Oryzias latipes: one gene and its partner. The protein of the gene in region 2 interacts with the protein of the main gene of each other region in a biochemical or structural test. Links are inferred from orthologs where the notes say so. Each region holds a gene or a part of one and is shown on either strand. Other genes may lie near its edges.

Region 1 (8,365 bases), on a different chromosome or scaffold from region 2:
TGAAATGAAGACCCCCCAGGTAATATCTGAAGTGTCTAATGGCACTGACCACAGCGAGGAGTTCCATTCGGGTGGAGCACTAGCCTTGCTCAACTTTGTTAAAGGTCCAGCTGTAGTATGCAACCACTCTGTCCCCCACAGGTCTTACCTGGGACAGAACTGCACCACAGCCCACATTGCTGGCATCCGTGTCCAGTAGAAAGGGCAGAACAGGGTCAGGTGGAAACAGACCAGGTGCTTACCGCTGCCATCTTTTCTGTGTCTATAGGTGTTTTATTCACAGATGGTTTGGGTGGCTCATCTGGATATACATAACAGACAGAGCTCTTCTTTTTTCTTGAATCAGACTTGGTTTTGTCAGTCATGGACAGGGTGTGAACTACATGGGACCCCGATCTAGAGGAAATTTGGTCATCTGGATAACATGTCCATCAGAAAATGTAAGGGTTCCTCTCTTGGTATCAATAACACAACCTTGGGCCCGCAAAAAAAAATCAAGGCCTGGTAAGCATTCTTCCAAGTCAGCAATCCACACAGGCCAATTCACTTGCTGGTTTCCCACCTCCAGAGTCACAACAGCCTCCCCCTGCATGAAAGTCCGTTCTCCAGTAACAGTCTGTAATGTTACAGCGTTAGGAAGGATGGCTGCATTATTCCTCACCACTGCAGGGCAGTGTTGCAGATGAACCTGTGTCCACTAAAGCTAAGCATGACGCTGCATCAACACTCATAGTTGTGAACCAGCAGTCACCAACCCAGGTTCGGCCCAAAGTCATTAGTCTCTCAGATGGGACTTCTTTGACCCCCACATGGCCAGCATTCCATTTCTGTGGGTCCAATCGGGATGGTTTTTCAGGGGGCCACATTGTCCCGCTTATGCGGTCCCGTTCCTGTTTCCTTGGTTGTCCGGGCAGTCACGAATCAAGTGCCCAGGTTTCCCACAACCCCAGGAGGTCCTGGGTCAGCTCCAGTCTCTTTGGGGGCGGACCTTGGATGCCTGTTCGTTTCTCAGGGTCACAGCTTTTACTAGCTGGGTCAGCTCCTCTGCCCGTGCAGGCCCCTTGGTGTCAGGCTCTGATACACTTGCAGCTCTAACCTTTGGAGGGGCCTCAAGCTCCACCCTGGAGGAGGGCCTCCACAGCATTTTTCTCTCTGTGGCCAGCTCCAGGGCCTCCTGCAGTAACTTACGGTGCGCTGGTTGGGTTTGAACGCGAAGGTCGTCTGGTCCCGGGCTAGCTCTTCCTGAATGGCTGGGGGCATGTGAGCATAAATCTGGTTAACTAATCTGTCGATGTCAACAGCCAGAACTCTTAATTGCTCGCCTTGGCCGAAAGAGCTGCCCCGGTAATGCAATTGTAGCGTCCCTTTCCCACACACTGAGGCACGGAGACTTAATCTCTTAACCCTTGTGCTATTTTAGATGACCCCCCCCTTCCATTGAGGTGTTCTCCCTACCATGACAAAGGGGGATAAAGGTGGAAAGATTTCATGTAATCCATGGACACCAGTGAAGATCACAAATCATTGAAGAACAAAGGTTCAGAGCACTGTCTAGTGGGTCTAGATGACCCAACTCCCAACGTTAAAGTGCCTAGGATAGCACAAGGGTTAAGGTTATTTATTCTGGTTACTGTAGGCTGTAACCAATGCTGCACAACTTGCCCAGAAACTCTTGTATCCTCCCGCTGAGAGCACTCCCCCAAACTTTATTCCCTTGCTCCTGCATCAGCCCCATTTCCTTATTCGGGCCATAGCTGAACCCTATTGGACCAAACTCCCCAACTACAGGTTGAGCGACAGAACTGAGAGCCAATCAGCATTTCTGCTTGATGCGTTCAATGAACACCGGAACTTAGAACGCGACCCCACAGCCACCCAGTACACTGTGTTACATAATTTTTCACCACACTGGTTTAAAAAAATAAAAGACCCTTTTGGGTTATGACAGGTTCTTAAAAAATATTTTCCAATAACAAGCAAAAAGAATTGAAAATTGTAATGAAAGCTCTTCCCTCAGGATTATTTCAACTAATGACCTCTCCCCGTAACCCTTGTGCTATCTTAGGCACTTTACCGTTGGGAGTTGGGTCATCTAGACCCACTAGACAGTGCTCTGAACCTTTTTTCTTCAATGATTTGTGATCTTCACTGGTGTCCATGGATTACATAGCGCACCTCACTCCACTCCGTGCTGAAAACAAATCCACACACACACACAAGAAAAACGTGCCAAAGAAACTTCCACTACACACTAAAAAGGAAATAAATACAGTGAGGAAGACGCTGCCACAAGGGGCCCCTTCACCAACACCACACGCACTGGCGCCCGACTCACACCTATGCAACAATAAAAAGGAATCAGAGTCAACAACACAATAAATACAGCACCACTCTAAAACACATTAAAATGTATAATAAGGGTGGGTAAAGAACACGCAGTGGCTCATGACATCTGCAACACGTCCAGCCGCTAACAGAATCTAGTTAAAAGAGCAGAATAAAAATGAGTAACCGGTGATCTACATTCTCCGACAAGAGGAGCTTCAGCCATACATACCACCATGCAGGCAGGCAGCCACTGTCTGTCAACTCACTCCCTGTTCCTTATAAAGAAGCAGAACAGCTGAACTACATCCCCAATCAAGCAGGCATGCACCTGTCACAGGCCGACCTGCCGGTTACTCAAGGGTGGGGACATAAGATAGCACAAGGGTTAAATATCACAAGGCATCTAAAAATAGACCCTCTATTGACAATTAATGATATTGATATTTTCAATAAAAAATGCTACAACAAACATATATTTACTACTTTATATGAAAAAAGAAGCATAACACCTAAAGGAGAAATTTATTGGAATAATATTTTAACTATCATTTGGACAAAAGCATAGTTACTGCCAGAAACATTTGGCATAAATAACAAAATTAAAGAAATACACAAATGAATTCTACATAACATTTACCCCACACTATGTTCATATTCAAATTCTCAAATATAGGAAATAACTGTAGCTTTTGTAATGATTTCCCAAAATCAGTTCTTCGCCTTTTCTGCCATTGTCAATTCTCCCTTAAATTCTGGATCCAATTGAAAAGATTTATAAGCATGAACAGTACTATTATTATATATTTCAAACACATTCTTACATATTTTAACTCGCAGGATCAATTGGTAGGAAATAGTATTGATTTGTTACTACTTCTATTTAAATAAGTGCTGAGTAAAAAAAACCAAAAAAACAATTTTACAGGATTTTTGATAGAGATTATCAATTTTACTAATATCTTCAAAAGATTATTACATTCAAGGCATAACACTGAAACAATATGAGCTTTTTTGCTTGATGAATAGTTCCCTCTACTGAGAAATACTTTAATATATTTTTATTTATTTTTGTTTTTAAATTTTCCTTTTTGCTAACGATGTCCCTGTTAATTTTATTTACATACTATAATTTATTCTTTATTTTTTAAGATAACATTGATTTTTGCCATCTGACGGTAAACTTGCCGATGTGATGTTTACTGTTGTATAAATAAAGTTTCAAAAAAAGAAAAAAGTCATTTTCTCCTGTCTAGGGTTGACCACGTGGGGAGGTCTGTCTTTTTTGCGCATGCGTAGAGGTTGTCACTGATTTTTCAAATCGGACGGCGGGTACCAGTTTCAGCCTTCAGTGCAGCAAGAAGCCCGACGTTTCTTTTCAACGGTTGATTGTCATTTCATGAAATGACGAGTACTTTAAAAGGAATCACCCTTAAAGGAAGCGCGGAGCTGGTGGCCGAGTTTTTCTGTATGTTTCAACATTTGTTTCTGTACTAGCCGGGCTTTTCAACGGCTCTTCCTCATTTGTTGTGTGCTAGCGGGCGGTCGGGCCCGCGTGCTCGGTTGTTGTGTGTAGCCAGCGAGTGTATTTACGGCGGCTCCAGACCGAAGGCAGAGCCCTAAACCGTCGCAGCATTTTAAAAGCCTTCCTTCTGAAGCCAACTTCTTAAAGATCGAATGGCTGCTTCTGGTCGATGTGTAGGTTAATGGCGGCTTTCTAACACCGCCCACCGCCAGGTGTGCTGGTAAAGAAGCCGAGCGTCACCAGAGTTAAAGTAGGAATGCTAGATTTCGGGTTGAACAGACACAAACTACTTATCATCGGCTGAGTAACTAACGTAGAGTAGTGTGGACGAAAAGAGTGTTCTCAGTCTTTGACCTGAATTAACGTCACAACCCCCCCCCCGCTAATAACAGCCCCGTGATCCTCCCCACAGCCTTCGGCATCAACAGCATCCTGTACCAGCGGGGCATTTACCCCCCAGAGACGTTCACCAGGGTCACTCACTATGACATGAGCCTCCAGGTCTCCACGGAGCCCAGGCTGAACAACTACCTGACCAACGTGGTGTCTCAACTCAAAGGTAGTTTGTCCTTTCTTTGTCCTAAAGCAGGCCGTGTCTGTTAGGACTTTATTTTTCTATTTCTTAACATGGAGGCAATGATCAAGATGCAATTCCTGTCTGTCAGCGTCCAGCAAAGGCTTATTGAAGACAAGAGGCGTGGGATATTGTTTCTCTTTACAGATTTATGGGATATGGAGGTGGATGTTGGGATGATTGACACCTCATGTTGTTTCCACGTGTCGATGTGCCTAAATAGTGATGTTTTCCTGCCCAAAAGTCCTCTAAAAGCCCAAAGAGTTCATCATAATTTAGGGTCAGACGCAACATTGAAGAATTTACACAGATTTCTCAAAGTCATTACAGAAATGATGAAATGCATAGATTAAAACCGTAAGTCACATTTGCTTGATTGAATGAGACACAAACTTGTCTTTGTGGTTCTTGTCAGTTTGGTCTTGAAGTTCCTGCATCCCCTCACTTTGTTCCTCCTTCATTTTCTAAGAACTCTTTTGTGTTGTTTGGTATTGAATGGTAACGATTTCCCACTGGCTCTGAATAGAAGTTAAAACACAACAAGATCATACAGTTTTAGAAGTCTGGATTGATCAAATTGTTTGTATGATCAGGATATCCGGCTTTATGTTCAGTTCTGACGGCTCATTTTTGAAGTAAACAGAGGATGTAGTGAACTCTTAGAATCAGTCCCCCAAATTTCTACACAGTCGGTCAAATATGGTAAAATTAAGGAGCAGTGTAATAAATATCTACTGTCGTATTTTAATATGTTTAGATTTACTTATGATGGAAATACTTTTGGAGACTTTATTTTGTGTGTGTCTGATGTGAGGCTTTAACTTAGTTTGTCATCGATAAAAACGCCTGAGAATCTGAATTCTGTAACACTTTAAATTAAGACATTTATTTTAATTGAGACATCGGTATTGGTGTAGTAGTTAGCAAAATATGTCACACTAGTTTTATCTGGGTTAAAGGAGGATTTGTCGTCAGCCATGATTTTATTTTGTGTGACCCTTGTTCTATCCTAGGCACTTTAACGTTGGGAGTTGGGTCATCTAGACCCACTAGACAGTGCTCTGAACCTTTTTTCTTCAATGATTTGTGATCTTCACTGGTGTCCATGGATTCCATGACATCTTTCCACCTTTATCCACCTTTGTCATGGTAGGAATAACACATCCATGTAAGGGTGGGGTCATCTAAGACAGCACAAGGGTTAACTCTATGTTCACCACATTAAGTTCCCTATGATTGTTTGTAGAATGGAATAGAATAGATCTGTCATCAGCAAATAATGAGTTTTAATAGTTGTGAGACATTGAATATATCATTTATGTAAATACTGAATAGCAGCGGGCCCAGAATTGATCCTTGTGGGACACCACAAGCTATCTATCAAGAATCAGCAGAAAATTAGCATCCTGAAGACGTTTGTGTAGCTCGGTTCGTGTGTTGGTGGTGTTGAAACAGCAGGAATAGGTTTTTCTTGTGTCATGTTAGAACAGGCTTGTTTTCCAGATGGACACACCTGGTCCAGGTAAAACGGGACGGTGATCTGCAAATCTCTGAGCCTGGACTTACCTGGTCTGCGTGTTAGGCCTTAAAGCAGGCGTGTAACGCGGGTTTGGGTTTCAGAATGGCTGTTTGAGTGCAGCGTGCAGAAGCTGGTGCTGGTCATCACCTGCCTGGAGACCAACGAGGTGCTGGAGCGATGGCAGTTTGACATCGAGTGTGACAAGTCGGCCAAAGAGAGCAGGTGAGCCCGCTCTCCAGTTCCAAATGTCTCAAGAGGAAAGGAGCTTCTCCAGGGGCTGGCTATCCCACCACCGCTAGCGTGATCCGCGGCGCGCTGTGGCGTGGACGAGAAGCGCATTTCTTCACATAGGCGTGTTCTGAAGCAGAGTTTACATTTAAATGTAGGTCAAGGCTAGAAAACCCATGTTGTGTGTTTCTCTAGCGCTGGCAGCTAAATGCTAACGTAGAAGATATGCAGCTATTGATGACGCCATCCAGGACTGGTAATGTTCAAATGTTTCCATAACTGCTGGAGGGGGGATGGGCAGGAGCTGGGAGGAATTGGGATTCGGTTTAAACCTTAAAAAAGGTTTTCTGTGGGGTTGGGACTCGGCATGTACTCCAAATCAGGTTCTCATTCTGAGGGAGCAAACGTTTCTGTGGTTTTTATTTCAGGCTGCTGCTCTGCCGTCCAAATAGCTACAATGACTGAGTTTATGGAGAAAAGTGTCTTCAAATCCGGACGTTACAACCGCTCCACAACGTCATGAATAGTAGTCGGTCTGCTGCGTTAGCGCTCAGAAAATACACATCATGGGTTTTATTTAAAAAGTCACGCATAAACAAAGTCATGACTTACATTTAAATGTAAACGTCTGTGCTTCAGCGCACACCCACGTGAGGAAATGCGTTTCTCCTCAACGCCACAGCGTGACGCGGATCGTCCTACCAGCAATCCACCACGGCTCCTCCTTTGAATCACTGTGGGACACCACTACAGCTCCAAAATGCCCCTTCAGCTGGAGCCAGAGGGGTAGGGGGGCAGTCCAGCCTTTGTTTCTGTGTGCTGACCTCTGACTCTGATCCTTTCAAAGCAGTGCTCCCAGAGAGAAGTCCATCAAGACCATTCAGGATGAGATCCGCTCCGTCATCAGACAGATCACGGCCACCGTCACCTTCCTGCCTCTGCTGGAGACGCAGTGTGAGTTCCCATAATCCATCTGTGACTCCTGCAGCTCCTCCCTGCTCGGCCGGCCCTCTGATTAGTTGTTCTTGCAGGCTCCTTTGACCTCCTGGTGTATACGGACAAAGACTTGGTGGTTCCTGACAAGTGGGAAGAGTCGGGGCCTCAGATAATCGACCAATCAGAGGAGGTGCGCTTGCGCTCCTTCACCACCTCTATCCACAAAGTGAGCAGCATGGTGGCGTACAAAAGGACCGACTCGGCTTGCAGCACCTGAGCTGCAGACGTTTACTCTGAGCTCATGAGGAACTCCTGCTTTCCTGGACTGGACTTTCTTCTTTGTTGGAGGATGAGGCGAACCTGTGCTCAGTGAGATCTGATGGAACTTTTTGTTAGTTTGTCTGTCCGATCTGTGTTTTCCTGATCTTTCTCCCCCTCAGAAGATGCTTTCGTTTTTTTACATCATTAAATTCTTTTCTCAGTGTGATTTGTGTTTTGTGCGGGGAGCATTTTTGATGCAACTCCCAGCATTCAGTGGGGGTGTAGATTTACGCGATGCATTGAGGGAATTTACAGCGGGAAAGAATCAGGTTCATGAGTGCTGCACCGTGGTCGTCCTGATCATGAGCTGGAGACGGGCGGGCCTGGCAGAACCGTAGGGTTCCTCACTGTACTGGGGGGGTCCGTCTGCTGAGTAGAAGACTAACCCATTTTAAGGTGAAATTCTACAACTTTTGATCAACTACTGAGCGAAAGTGAAACTTTCATAAAGTTATAAGTTCCTTAACCCTTGTGCTATCCTAGGCACTTTAGGCACAGAGCTCTGAACCTTTTTTCTGCAATGATTTGTGATCTTCACTGGTGTCCATGGATTACATGAAATCTTTCCACCTTTATCCCCCTTTTTCATGGTAGGGAGAACACCTCAATGGAAGGGGGGGGGGGGGGGGTCATCTGGACCCCATAGGAGAGCACAAGGGTTACATGAACAGGAGTCAGCCAGAGCCTCGGACACAGACGTGTTGGGCAGCAGATCTCCATCAGGCACCGGTTGTTTCAGTAAACGTGTAGACAAAGATCAAGTCGACAGTTTTCTTGGTCTCTGCTGCCATTGGCAAAAAAGACAAACACTGTTTTTAGTTATTTTAATATATTGAGATGGTTCTTTTATCACAAGACGCTGGAAAGATTCAGAACCATTTTCATCAGCAAATTCTTCAGACTGGTTCTGAAGAATCACCTGAGGAAAAAATAGATA
Region 2 (7,114 bases):
TTGGAGGTTCAGTCCGTGAACCTTTGGTTTGACTTGATCTTTAAGATCATCGAGTTGGGTTTTAAATGAGCAGGAGCTTAAACGGCGCTCCGCGTGTGTTTTTGCTTTCAGTCCACGGTGCGTAAAGGCGTCTTGCCCCGGATGCTAGAGGAGATCCTCAACACCAGAATCATGGTAAAGCAGTCCATGAAGACCTACAAGCAGGACAAAGCCCTGATGAAGCTGCTGGATGCCCGCCAGCTCGGACTCAAACTCATCGCCAACGTCACCTTCGGCTACACCTCCGCCAACTATTCTGGGCGCATGCCAAGCGTGGAGGTGAGCGCACCACCTTCTTTCTGGTATTTCCTGCTGCTCGGTCAAAGCGTCCAGTCTTGACCCGTTCACCTCTGCGTCCACACAAATGTGCCGTCTGTCTTCTACAGGTGGGAGACAGTATCGTCCACAAAGCCAGGGAGACGCTGGAGAGAGCCATCAAGCAGGTCAACGATACCAAGAAATGGGGAGCCAGAGTGGTGTATGGAGACACAGACAGGTGACTTATGGCACTGAATCTGATGTATGTGATGAGAAACATTCAGGTTTCCACAGGATTTGTAGCCAAACTGTTCTTATCGTCACTAAAGAAGCGGAACTTCCTGAAACAATCCATAGATTTCTTTTGGATCTGACATTTTTGGACTTTTGACTTGTTGGTTCTACAAGTTAGATGTTGAAATCATAAGAAACACAAATGGGAATTGTATTCAGGGCTACTTTTGAACCGTTGTGATTAAAAACTGTGGATTTTGGAGTGTAACCCAATAAGTCTTTGGGTGTTTTAGTGATCTGGAAAAGATTTTTGTGTTTTCTGCATACGAGAGACTGAACAAATCTGGAATTTTATGACGTGTTGAAGCCAGTTGTTTGCTTGTCTTTCATTGACTTCAAACCCATTTATTTTTTATAAAATGGGAAAATTGACCAAATTTGGGGTGTGTTCTGAAAGGTTAAGGGAACAAACCTCCAAGACTATTTTAGCATGTGTTAATCTAATCTCCGCGCCCCCACTTTAGAATCATTTGTATTCTAACTATAAAATTATGAGGCTCAAAATAATTCATTCCCAGAACAATCATTCCTGATTCAAATGTATCCACTGAAGGGAAAAGGGCGTTGGAACCAACATGACGGGTTAGATCCGTTTACATTGAAGTGAATAGAGACAGGCTTGATTTTCTATTATGCCATCTAGTGCTTAAACCATGAAGGACTTTGGCTCCACCTTCTTTGGGTTTTAAACCAGCCTCAAGGCTCAAGGAGGAGATGAAGTTGTTATTTACTAGGAGATCTTCTTTTGCTTCATCATGACCTTTACTGTGGTCTTCATGAACCCCAAACCTGATAAAGGATCATCCTACAGGTTCTGAAGATGTTTCACCTGGAATTCTGAGTGGGGTCTATAAATCTGAGGTTCAGTTGGAGGTCAGAGACGAATGAATGGCGTCGTTTGTGTCACAGTGATGCCAATGCAGAGCTGTGCAGAAGCAGAACGCTTTGCAAAGGGGCATCTTCAAAGATAGGGATGGTACCAGGATTTGGGAGTCTTCTACAGTAATTAGGACTGAGGCAAGAGCTGAGCTGAAAGGCAAACCTGTTGATCTTTGTTCCAACCTTTGAACAATTGACAGATCAACATGGAGAATTTTAGCCTCAGATGAGTTCACTTCCTTGGAGAGGACCTCCTCCTCACTGGCAGAAGTCCGATTGAAGCTTGTAATAATCGTCTTCACACCTTTAATTTTCTGTTTCATTGACTTGTGTGTTGATTAGTTGCTGGATGGAAGTAACTGGATCTCTTGTCTCTGATGAGAAACCGTTTGTGTAACGACACTCCTGTTGTGTTTCTGCCAGCATGTTTGTTCTACTGAAAGGAGCCACCAAAGAGCAGGCCTTCAGGATCGGGAATGAGATCGCCGAAGCCGTCACTGCCACCAACCCCAAACCGGTCAAGCTAAAGTTTGAGAAGGTAACAGTCTTCTAGGAGCTGACGCCGCTCCTTCAGGAGGACGCCTCCACGTTTTTATGTTTTTGGTTCCTGCTTGGCGTGATCCTAAAACCCTCATTCTTCAGGTGTACCTGCCGTGCGTGCTGCAGACCAAGAAGAGGTACGTGGGCTACATGTACGAGAGCCTGGACCAGAAGGAGCCGGTGTTTGACGCCAAGGGGATCGAAACCGTTCGGCGTGACGGTTGCCCCGCTGTTTCCAAGGTAACCGGCTCCTTCTGCCTCCATCTTAATTGTGCTGTCAGGCTTCTGCACACACCTGTCGGTTCTCATTCAACACAGAGTCTTTGAACTGGTTCCTTTGGTTTAGTATGTAGTTTTCTAGCTGTGGGGCTGAGATTCCTCCCAGGTGTTCCCACCTTTGACGTCAAAGTCCCCATTTTGATTCAGGGACACAACATAGTGATTCTTCCTCTCTACTAATATCTGACCTAGACTAAACCAAAAACTAGATTTTTCTAAAGTTTAGGAAAGAGCAACGTGGATCAACACAGATTATAGATTCTCCATTATTTAGTCACTCTACAAAGGGTTGTATGTTTGTCGATTTCAGATCCTAGAGCGATCTATTAAGCTGCTGTTTGAGACCCGGGACATCAGCCAGGTCAAGCAGTTCGTGCAGTGTCAGTGTCTGAAGGTTCTGGACGGCCGGGCCAGCATGCAGGACCTGACCTTCGCCAAGGAGTACCGGGGCAGCGGCTCCTACCGGCCGGGAGCTTGCGTCCCGGCGCTGGAGCTCACCAGGTGTGTCGCGCAGTGAAGAATCTGACATGGGTGCGGTTCTGCTGGTCCATCTGTTCAGCAGAACCAGAGAAGCCCATGTCCATCATCAGGGAACCAGCAGCAGAACTCAACGCTTGTCTCTCCTCAGACGGATGCTGTCCTACGACCGGCGTTTGGAGCCGCGTGTGGGCGAGCGTGTGCCGTACGTGGTGGTGTATGGGACTCCTGGCGTCCCCCTCATCCAGCTGGTGCGCCGCCCCCTGGACGTGCTCCAGGATCCAACCCTGCGCCTCAACGCCACTTACTACATCACCAAACAGATTCTGCCGCCGCTTGCCCGCATGTTCCAGCTGATAGGGGTGGACGTGTTCAGCTGGTACCAGGAGCTGCCCCGGGTGAGGAGCCAGCAGGACACGGGGGGGCTTTTGAGCTTTCCTTTAAGAAGCATTGAAGGATGGAGAAGCAGATCTCTGGGACACTGCTGCCCCCTGCTGGCAGAGCTTCCTAACGCACTGCAGCAGTTCCTCTTTCTAACTGTACTACATCATAGACCGATGAATATAAACATCTTCCTCTGATGGGTTGTGGCATGACTGAATGGCTGTTTGCTCCACCCATCCGCAGGTCCAGAAGGCGTCATGCTCGGCGGCGGCAGCAGGAGACGAGGTGGGCAGGAAGGGAACCATCTCCCAGTATTTCACCACGCTGCACTGTCCCGTGTGCGACGAGCTGACTCAGCTGGGAGTGTGCTCGCAGTGCCGGGCCGAACCGCAGCGGGTCGCCGTCACTCTGTACCAGGACATGAGGCAGTGGGAGAGCCAGCAGGAGCAGCTGCTGAAGGTGAGGACGCTCTCAGGAGCTCTGGACTGTGAGACGCCGAAGGTTTGCTCTTTTGAGCTGCACTTAATGAAGAAGATGCGAAGGTTTCATGTCGGTTTTCCTTTTTCCCCCTCTAAAAAATGAAATGAAACCAAACACTAGATTGTCCTGACAGACCTGTTTGTGCTCAGATCTGCAGGAGCTGCAGCGGTGGCACTGAGCGGCAGGTTCCCTGCATCTCCCTGGACTGTCCCGTTCTCTACAAGCTGTCTCGGGTCAACAGGCAGATTTCTAAGGCGCCCTACCTCCGACAGCTGATGGAGCAGTTCTGATGAGCCCCTGAAAGCCAGCTAACTGGTGCTAATGGCCTCCCCTACTCTCTGGTTTTTAACCAGGAGTCTGTGCTCCTCAGGGGGTTCTTTACAGATCAGCCTGATAGTTGTGAACACAGGCTGATGTTTAATGCATTCTGTTCAAAGGGTGCCCTTTTCCTCTAACTTTCATGGAGCTGATGATTGTCCAGAATCATCCGTTTGTTTTATAACTGTGGGACTGTTGCAATACTCTTAATAATTTATTCTACGCAGAGTCCGTTATTTCATTGTGGTTTAGTATCTAACTGTTCTGAAAGCAGGCGGAGACGGAACCCTCAGCTCCTCTCAGATGTGCGCAGCATGTGTGTGTTTGTATAAATGTACAAATTCAAGTGTTTTTGGTGGTTTTTAATGGATGATGCTGTGGGTGAAGGTGTCAGACTGAAAATAAAAATGTCAAGTATTCAGTTGTTTCCCTTATTCAAAGTCTAACTGCATGGTAATAACCCTTGTGCTATCCTAGGCACTTTAACATTGGGAGTTGGGTCATCTAGACCCACTAGACAGTGCTCTGAACCTTTTTTCTTCAATGATTTGTGATCTTCACTGGTGTCCATGGATTACATGAAATCCTTCCACCTTTATCCACCTTTGTCATGGTAGGGAGAACACGTCAATGTAAGGGTGGGGTCATCTAAGATAGCACAAGGGTTAAAACCCTTGTGCTATCTTAGATGACCCCACTCATGTAATCCATGAGTACAACTAATCACTTAAAATAAAGTAAAAGCGTTTATGGACCCTCTGGCTTGCCATATCTGAACACACAACAGCAGATTTATCATCTGACAATCAACCATTAGGACATTACACAACAGTTTGCCCGTGTGTCCTTCAAAAACCTTTGGCTCTAGTTGGGGTTCCACTCAGTGTCAGGACATCAGGGGGGGCCGGCTCCAGGCCTGGAGGGCCTTCATCTGGATGGTTTTCAGAAACCCCTCAAGGAGGACACCGTCTTTTCTCTGTCCAAGGAGCGCAGCAGTTTGTGTCTCCGCCTACAGAACAGCCCTCTGAGGACAGCACTTCGCCTCCACCCGTGTCAGCGGGAGGTGATGCGTCATCTATATCGATGACCTCAAAGTCAGCATCATTCCATTGGTCAGCTTCATCCTCCTGTTCCTCCTCCTCCCGAGTCTATCAGCGCCTGTGTACTGTAGAAATGTATGTTTTTGTATCTTATACTTTATTAGATTGCAGCTTAATCTTAAGTGTGAAGTGAACTCATTTTGAACTCTCAAGACTTATTCTCCTGTGAAATTTCTTTTTTCTTTATGACTTCAGCGGCAAACTTTTCTCCTGCACACCCCTGTGAAAGAAATAGAATGTTCTTTGTGCAAATCTAGGAGTTTTGCAAAGACCCCATAAATATGCCATGGACTGCATTTCTACCATCTGGGTTGAAGGTCTTATCCCTGGGAAAGTGTTCAGATTCGTGTTCTCATGTGGAGGTTGGAGCTAACCTCTGCCCTAATGTCTGTGATGGAGTCTTCGGTTATCTGGGAAGGATTTATTAGGCCCTAATAGGGAATCTTTTCATGGGTGCACCGGGTGCACCTTCCTATCTGGTCCGACGACAGAGAGGAGCAAATCCAGAGGCTGCTATTCCATCTATTGGCCGGTGAGAGCAGGCGGGCTATATGACGAATCAGAGCAACCAGGGGCGGAGATTCGGCCGCCACGATGTTTCCTGAAGGAGGAGTTTCAACACACATGTTAAAAGGACTATTTTGGAAGTATTCTATTGTTCTCAAGAACACCTACGAGTAATTCGCATGTAACTTATGCGTCTGTAGGCCTTTTAACTTGAGAATCCAGATATCTGCAACAATGTGTTTTAATCTGTGTTAGAACTATTTGTTATGGCAATAAACTTTGTGTATTTTTAATCCGGTTGAATCCGTGGTCTGTTTTACCTCTCCCGACAATTGAACACGCATGGATGGAAAGATCTGAAAAGCGGAAAGATTCTTTCCTACAATTTTGGTGACCCCGACGTGATGTCAGGGAGCGGAACCGAATGGAACCGAACGCGGATCGAACGGACCGGATTATAGTGACGTATTTTATGAGATTCCTGAGACTTTCGGCGTAAAGTCAGGGGACCGCCCAGTAGCGGTTCTAGGCACGGGCCGTCCGGGCGGTGGCCTGGGGCGGAAAACTGAAGGGGGGCGGCACCGGCGGCTCAGCCCTTGTAAAATATTATATGCACCACTATTGGTTAACTTATGTCACAGTTTGTGAGTTTGTAACAGCCTGAACCTGGCCGCGCCGCCGCCCTCGCCCCGCAGCTGTGCGCTCTCCTGTCTTTGAGAAGTAGACACAAATGTGTGTGAAGAAGAAGGGAGGGGGCGCGGGGGGAGCACGGAGCACCACCGCGTTTGCGCATGCGCAAAACCTGGCGGGCTCATCTTTCAGGGGAGGCGACGGTCGCGGGCTTGATGAAAAAAATAAAAGTAAAAACTGCGACTGCGCCGTCATGTAGCGAATCAGCGCCCCTGGCTATAGCTGCACGCGCTCCTGCTGGAAATGTGTGAAGAAAGGGGGGGGGGGCTGCGGGGAATCAGTTCAATTGTGGGACGCTTCCAAATTAAGTGGCTAGGTGGGGACAAGGGCGGGGGTTTGAATCTACTTCATAAAACCTTTTTATAAGTCAGTCATAAGGTGACATTCTATAACCTACACTTTAATAAAGGTATAGAAAATATATTCTGCTTTTTTTGGGTTAATTTTGTGTTAAATGCCCAAATGAAAAAATGGCAACACAAAACAATGCTGTCACTAAGGTGACAGTTGGTTCAGTCGACGGACTTGATGTCTTCTTCGTGACGTGAGGACATTTATGCCAAACAAACGCCAAAAACATCTAAAATATGGAGAAAAAAAGGTCAAAGCCATCTGGTGCCCAATTTAGAAAGAAAAGAAAAGAAGAAGAGGAAAAAAGAGATAAAGAAAAGGGTAAGTCCTCACAGCTTGATGCATGTTCTTTCTAAATTCTAATGCTACCTGCCCTACAACAATGTTGCCGATGAAAACTTTATTTTGGTCGATGACCAACACTGAAGTAGGCCCAAATGTTGCAAATAGCGTCATTTTTTTTTTTTTTTTTAGATTTTATTCTTAAAAATTTGCTCTGCCTTAACTTGTAACATTAG

The links. The genes of interacting proteins can lie anywhere in the genome.
Region 1: the proteins of rev3l (region 2) and mad2l1 form a complex in vitro, tested with the Homo sapiens proteins (2 studies listed by BioGRID). The link is inferred for Oryzias latipes from reciprocal best matches to the Homo sapiens genes REV3L and MAD2L1.

Annotation. Positions count from the first base shown.
Region 1 is NC_019876.2:30,700,138-30,708,502, reverse strand, and holds mad2l1 (mitotic spindle assembly checkpoint protein MAD2A), read left to right. Parts: upstream 1-3,608; 5' UTR 3,609-3,729; coding exon 3,730-3,793; intron 3,794-4,262; coding exon 4,263-4,409; intron 4,410-6,044; coding exon 6,045-6,165; intron 6,166-7,018; coding exon of another isoform or gene 7,019-7,021; coding exon 7,022-7,125; intron 7,126-7,202; coding exon 7,203-7,384; 3' UTR 7,385-7,594; downstream 7,595-8,365. UniProt on the Homo sapiens protein: Component of the spindle-assembly checkpoint that prevents the onset of anaphase until all chromosomes are properly aligned at the metaphase plate.
Region 2 is NC_019882.2:10,271,770-10,278,883, forward strand, and holds the end of rev3l (DNA polymerase zeta catalytic subunit), read left to right. Parts: intron 1-111; coding exon 112-318; intron 319-425; coding exon 426-535; intron 536-1,893; coding exon 1,894-2,008; intron 2,009-2,112; coding exon 2,113-2,250; intron 2,251-2,599; coding exon 2,600-2,790; intron 2,791-2,917; coding exon 2,918-3,164; intron 3,165-3,393; coding exon 3,394-3,692; intron 3,693-3,779; coding exon 3,780-3,906; coding exon of another isoform or gene 3,907-3,920; 3' UTR 3,921-4,369; downstream 4,370-7,114. UniProt on the Homo sapiens protein: Catalytic subunit of the DNA polymerase zeta complex, an error-prone polymerase specialized in translesion DNA synthesis (TLS). Lacks an intrinsic 3'-5' exonuclease activity and thus has no proofreading function.